Linked DNA regions of Nothobranchius furzeri. Each later gene encodes a partner of the first gene's protein in a complex. Links are inferred from orthologs where the notes say so. Each region holds a gene or a part of one and is shown on either strand. Other genes may lie near its edges.

Region 1 (3,825 bases):
CAGAGCTGGTTTATGAAGACATGAAACAAAGGTACGGTTCTCATGGCTGTTACTTGTTGAAGATAAACTCCCGCACAGTTTCTCCTGAGCAAGATGAACAGATCCCAGACCCATGGAGTCAGTACCTGCTGAGAAATAGTCAGCGGAACCAGGTGAGGATTCACATCCCCCCCCCCCCCCCACCCCCCCGGTCGGGCTGACTTGGGTCCTTTTACTGCAGCACAACTTTACTTTGACAAAAAATTACAAACATTTATTGGAGAATCTGTAGTTAGCACCAATTCACACCTGCTGAGAAACTGAAGAATAAAATGTGACTGAAGAGTCTGAGCTAGACCGATATATTGTTCCTGAGTTACATCCGCACAAAGGAAGTGCTCAAAAACATTATTTTCTACTAAAATTTCTTTTTATTTATCCATTTTTAATATTTAATACTTGCTCAGTTAATTGTTTTTTTTCTTATGTGTTTATTGAGAAAGAAACATACATAGAAACACATCTGACCATACAATTAGTTCCTCTCACATTAACATTTTTTTTCCTTTTCTTCCACAACAACAAAACAATTTATTTTAACTAGTTAAATGTCTGATTTTAATTTTAACAGTTGGTTAAATTCAGTGATCTGATTAGGTTCAGAAATGTTGTGAATCCACGGATGCTATTAGAGACGTTTTAGCATGCAAATAAGGTGGACAACGTCTAGATATCAGCCATGAAAAGTGGCAGCACATTTCGGCCGTCAGCTGACCACGACCTCTGAATAGCGGTGTCAGTATTAGCAACCGAAAAACGATCTAGTCTGAACACGAGCAGGTTGGAGGTTAAAACTCCTCTTGGCTCATGCTTCAGTCTGGTTCTTCTGTACTGGTCTGGTTTAACACCAGGATCACTATTGCAGGAGATGTTTGATTTGGTTCCAGCTGCTAATGTTGCAGAGACCAGTGCTGGTGCAACTGAGGTGGACAGCAGCGACTCGGCAGAGACAGGTCAGTCGGTTTCTCTTGTCAGTGTTCACATACCTCTGTTTTGATTCGAAAGCTCGTCTATGGAAAAGTCTAAACTCATTTGTTTTAATCAAAGTGTGCTTCTGTGTGTGTATGTGGACCAGGACCTGGCCTGTCCAGTAGCCTGGAGGTCCATCCTCTCCAGTTAGACACCAGCTCAGCAAGCCTCCAGACTCTGACTGATGTCCATGTCGACCTGAAGACGGGAGCGAGGGACTCGGAGCATCCAGCGTTAGGATCAGGGAGCTATGGAGCCTGTCTGACCCTCAATGATCATGACCACGTTAGACAGTTTGTTCAAGAGTTTGCTTTCAGAGGTCTGCTCCCACATGTTGAGAAGAACATCAGACAGCTGAATGACCAGGTACACTTCAAGATGTCCCTATTGATGCACTAACATTTCCACCCATCCTCTCCCTCACAGCTTGTGTCTCCGTTCATCTCAGCTCCTTTCCAGAAAAGGCCTGAGTCGCTCTTTGTTCACTGCTACCAAAAAGTGGTTTGGTGGAGGCAAAGTTCCAGAGAAGAACGAACCTAAGACTACTAGCAACCTTCTGTAAGATCTTTCTTTCCATTTCTCTCTTGACCCCGTGCATGACACTTTACCTGCAGTGTTGGTGTCATCTTTCTCCTCTTTGGTGTCAGATATCCTCCTGAAGCCCCGGAGCTGCAGATCAGGAAGATGGCAGACCTTTGCTTCCTGGTCCAGCACTACGACCTAGCCTACAGCTGCTACCACACTGCCAAGAAGGACTTCCTGTTGGACCAGGCCATGCTGTATGCTGCAGGAGCACTGGTATGAACTGCTCACACGGTGAAGCTGAAGCTGTGTGTCACACTAGAGATGAACCAAACAAATTACCTCATTCATGGCTCGTTTAAGAGTACCAATAAAAGGTGTGGTTCACTTTTTTAATCAATACATTTGCACTGGTCTCTAGTAGGAATGAATGCCTAGTGAGTTGTTATTTGGGGGGGGGGGGGGGAGCCCTGGTACGCCTGTTTCAGGAACTACTATGTTGCCAGATCAGAGTTGAGACTCAGACGGCAGGTTTTGGAGTCTTGTTGTCTGATATTTGGACCGCTCATCTCGGATTGGCTAACAGCAACATGGCTCTACCACTGACTCTGTTTGCTCTACAACGCTGATGTTTTATCTCCACAAATAACAAAAGCCTGGAGGAGTTCTGCTGTGTGGTAGAGTTGCTAAACCCGGGCGTACACTGTGCGACTTTTTCACTTTTTTGAGCCGATTTTCCACTCGTGCGAGAATCCACAAGATCGGGGCGAGTTTAGCGCTGAGTGTCGTGTAGTGTACAGGGGGTTACGAGAGGCGATTAACACCACGTGACCAGCTACCGATCAGCAGTAGTGAGCTCGCACGGACTTCTGGCGTGTTTGATGTTTCGCTCGTCCCTCGTGAGGGTATCGCACTGTTGAAGCGGCGCTGCGAGCAGCTGCGACCCAAAAAGTATCAGAACCGCTCACGGCGCATGCGCCATCATGCATCAACACCGCTCGCCCGCTATTTCCCTAATAACACACGTTGTTCGTTTTTGTTTCTACACGTTTTTTTTACTCACAAAGATTGTCAAGAAAGCGTGTTTGTCGTGTTCATGTCAAATTAAACTGATCACAAAACACAGATTTACTTTCTTTACTTCGTTTTCCTCATCCAACCTCCATAAATCCCTGTGTGTCCTCCTGCAGCACTCCCGAAGGACAACAGGCAAGACAAGCCAAAAAAGTCTGATGTGTTGAGTAAAAACTGCTATTTTTAGCATATTTTTAGGGCCGACGTGTTGCTACCAGACGTACAGTGTGAGCACATGACTCGTGAGATCTGCTCTGCGAGGAAGTCGTACAGTTTGAGCTGAAGCTGAGTGCTACGAGTGAAAAAGTCGCACAGTGTACGCCCGGCTTAATGCTAACAGTTAGCTTCTACTTGCCATTCTCTGCTGTTTCCTGGACACTAAAATGACAACAACCTTCCTCATCGTGAATCGAGATGGGTGAGTCCACGAATGTAAAGTGGCCACTTGACGTAGATCTGTCAGGCTTTTCAGATCCTAAAGTTTCACCGCCTATTTTCTATCAGAAGTTAATGCAGGAAATAGGTGTAGGAGACTATTTTCATGCATAAAAAACTCAGAGTGACCCATTATAATCAGTAATAATCATTTTCAGTGAACCACACACCTTTAAAAGAAGCCACCATATAAAGGTTCAAAACCTGTATCACGTTTGTCTACTAAAGCTGTGAGATTTAAAAACACCCGAGTGTGAAGCAACTGGGATGAGAATCAGCTCCTCTAAATCCGAGACCATGGTCTTGAGACAGAAAAGGGTAGAATGCCTTCTCCAGGTCAGGGATGAGGTCCTGTCTCAAGTGTAGGAGTTTAAGTATCTTGGGTCTTGTTCACGAGTGAGGGAAAGATGGAGAGTGATGCAGGTGTTGTACCGATCTGTCGTGGCGAAGGGAGAGCTGAGCCGGAAGGCAAATCTCATGATTTACCGGTCTATCTACGTTCCTACCCTCATCTATGGTCACGAGCTTCGGCTAGTGACAGAAAGAACGAGATCGTGGATACAAGCGGCTGAAATGAGCTGACCTGCTAGACTATGCCTCTCAGCTGGCCAGGGAACGCCTTAGGATTGCCCGGAGGAGCTGGCTTAAGTGGCTGGGGAGAGGGTCTGGTCTGGGCGTCCCTGCTTAGGCTACTGCCCCATGACCCGGCCCTGGATAAGCAACTGAAAATGGGAAAAAAATGAGAGATTTAAAAGCAAAAACTGTCTTTTTAAATAAAAAAATGCT
Region 2 (2,908 bases), on another chromosome or scaffold:
ACGTTGGTAAAAAGGTAGAGGTAAGTCTGTGTATTTGACAGGAAGACCCTGGACTGAACTGCAGCTAACTGCGTGTTTGTCATTTGTGCACGCACAGATTACTGGCATTGAGTTGGTGCTGGGCAGCGACAGTGGCCGCTGTGTTTTTCTGAGCTGGAGAGGTGCTGGTGGAGACACTGCTTCAGCCCAGGAGGCCCTGCAGGCCAGCAGGTCATCACGCAGGTGGTGGCGTGGCCTTGGGGCACGTCAGGAGCTTGACTGGGACAGTCTGACTGTTCAACATAGCACCATGTAATGTCATCAGAAACCTTTCATTTTTAACACTCTTCCTGTAACTGAACAGCTGCTCATGTGGATATTTCTGCTTGTTTTCTCGTGTTTAGGATCATATCCAGAATCCCAAAGATCTCTGTCCACCTGAGCCACCAGCCTCCTGTCCTCAAGAATGAAATGTACTGCATCTGCTTCACTGTCCAGTCACAGGAGGCGGCTGTGGCTCAAGACATCAGACTGACAGCAGGTCTCAAACCAGGTAAACTGATACTAGATAATGAGGGTTTCCCACTACTGAGCACGGCTTGACTCGACTCGATAAACAACTCTAGTGGGTGGGCTCATTGTAGCGGGGGGGGCAGAGGCCCTGGTAGTTACTTCTGGGTCACGGCAATTTTGTTGGCGTCTGGTGAGACCCAAGCCTGGCTCTTGATGGTTCAGCTTTTATTCTGAAAGGAACTGTTGCCGCAGTTGATATAGCAATGAATTTTTCCAGCTTGTCGTTGTTCTTTCGGTTGAAGAGTATAGATCAGGATTGGCCACTCCGTCACTTTCTCTGGAACACTTTGAGCTGGCGTTAGAGCTGACATGGCATAGTTTTATACTTTGGATGTTATGATTTATTGTCGAATGAAAAATTACCAAACACCATCAGAACTACGCCTCCGTCAGATCTGTTAGATTCTGATTGGCTCAGTGAAAGGAATGTGTCATGTCTTTTTAACGCTTCGTGAAATGAGTCCTGTTGGAATATTTAAAGTCACAGTACCGTTATATTCTATAGGATTATAATAAAGTAATTAATATTTTGATTTCACAGATCGGTCACATCTTATTTGTTGACTAACACTTTGATGGATTAGCTTTATTAAAATAGAGTTCTTTGATTAATTAAAAGAAAAGAGTTCATTCTTCGTTCTTCTGTTGAGCTGAAAATAAGCAGGTTAGAAGGAATGCACGAGACCTTGAGACTTATCTCATGCAGACTAGTCTTGAGCAGAGGAGGAAAAAAAACAGTCATTCCGTTCAGTTACATAATCGATGCTCGATGCCCGACCCTAGTCGTGTGTGTGTGTTTTTGTGTGTGTGTGTGTGTGTGTGTGTACTGAGAGAACACAACCACCAGTATACGCAGTCATCCTGGTCATCGTGTCTTTTCCAGGCCAGGATGCAAATCTGGGCCTAGCTACCCATGTGACCCTCGACGGCTCCAGCGTTTGTGACGATGGTGCTCCAGCTCTGCTCACCGATGTGCCTCTGGGTGACCTGAAACCTGGAGAAAAGGTGCTCACTTCTGCCTGAACACGCACACATGCGCACCTGTCTGCATTACCCAGCAGCAGAGGGACAGTGATTTCTCTTTCTGTCTGTGTGTGCTTGACTCTAGCTGGAGAGGTGTGTTTTTGTGAGGTGTGCGTCCACTGGGCCAAGGGTCTTCCTGTTTCAGGTGGCCTACAGCATCGACACAGAAGTGGAAGGACGACAGATTGTGTGCAGATGCCATAAGGTCTCTGAGTTGGACTAAGTCTCACTGCCTAAAACATCACTCCACCTCTGGGTTTTCCTAATTAGGTCTTTGTTTTCCTTTGTCTTCCAGGATGAGATGGTAACCATAGAGACGGTCGTCCCGTTTGAGGTGTCAGTCAAGTTTGTATCTACCAAGGTGGGCAGCTTTCTCTGGTTTTCCTTTTGTTTTCATCGTCACCACTGAGACCTGTTTGAGTCTCATGTCCCAGTAGAGGATGAGAGACCAGGATGGATAGACTGATGATGGTGCAGCTTTAATGAGAAGAAGGCGTGTGTTTGTGTGTGTGTGTGTGTGTGTGTGTGTGTGTTTTCAGTTTGAGCCTCTGGAGCAGGTAGCGGTGGACATTCCCTTCCTGCTGATGACAGACCTGGTCTCTTTGTCTCCGTGGCCCCTGATGCTGAGCTCCTCCTCCCTGCAGCTGCTCACACTGAGCAGCAGCACGACTCAGCTCCAGTCACAGCTGCAGCATGGTACCAGACCCGGTTCTAGTCCTACACCACACAGACTTCACATTCACATCCTGACGTGTGTGTATTTTGATTTTCAGTGGTTATTCAGACTGGTGAGTGTGCCAGTGAGTGTTTTTGTCTTCGATGTCCATCTGGGACCAACAGCGCCAACACTGTAGCGACAGGACAGTACCTAGTATCATGGAGGAGGTACGCGCGCATGCACACACACACACACACACACACACACACACACACACACACACACACACACACACACACACACACACACACACACACACACAGAATGGTGAGTGTGTAAATCTGTCACTCGCTCTGTTAAACAGGCAGGCCTCTGGTCCAGACGGGCCCCTGATCCAGACCACAGTCAGTCTCCCTCATGTGATCCTGGAGTCTGTTCCTGTTTACATCACCGCTGGTCAGCACAGGCCGTGTTAACCTCCTGGCCTTGCAGGGTGGCTTTTTTGTGTTTGCAGCTAATGGTTTCAGTCCGGTTGACTGTAAGGGTTTGGGTTTTTCTCTGTTCTGTTGCAGATTTACCGTCATTTGGGCGAGTGAGAGAGTCCTTTCCAGTTCGTTACCACATTGAGAACAGAACAGCCCTGGTGCAGGAGGTAGAGATCGCTGTGGAACCATC

Evidence for each region.
Region 2: trappc8 (region 1) and trappc11 share a complex: the UniProt entries of both Homo sapiens proteins name them as parts of the multisubunit TRAPP (transport protein particle) complex. The link is inferred for Nothobranchius furzeri from reciprocal best matches to the Homo sapiens genes TRAPPC8 and TRAPPC11.

What each region holds. Positions count from the first base shown.
Region 1 is NC_091756.1:54,980,452-54,984,276, forward strand, and holds part of trappc8 (trafficking protein particle complex subunit 8), read left to right. Parts: coding exon 1-152; intron 153-904; coding exon 905-992; intron 993-1,114; coding exon 1,115-1,374; intron 1,375-1,456; coding exon 1,457-1,566; intron 1,567-1,655; coding exon 1,656-1,806; intron 1,807-3,825. UniProt on the Homo sapiens protein: Plays a role in endoplasmic reticulum to Golgi apparatus trafficking at a very early stage. Maintains together with TBC1D14 the cycling pool of ATG9 required for initiation of autophagy. Involved in collagen secretion.
Region 2 is NC_091741.1:109,664,679-109,667,586, forward strand, and holds part of trappc11 (trafficking protein particle complex subunit 11), read left to right. Parts: coding exon 1-20; intron 21-97; coding exon 98-291; intron 292-383; coding exon 384-532; intron 533-1,435; coding exon 1,436-1,557; intron 1,558-1,660; coding exon 1,661-1,780; intron 1,781-1,870; coding exon 1,871-1,936; intron 1,937-2,114; coding exon 2,115-2,271; intron 2,272-2,348; coding exon 2,349-2,460; intron 2,461-2,597; coding exon 2,598-2,689; intron 2,690-2,805; coding exon 2,806-2,908. UniProt on the Homo sapiens protein: Involved in endoplasmic reticulum to Golgi apparatus trafficking at a very early stage.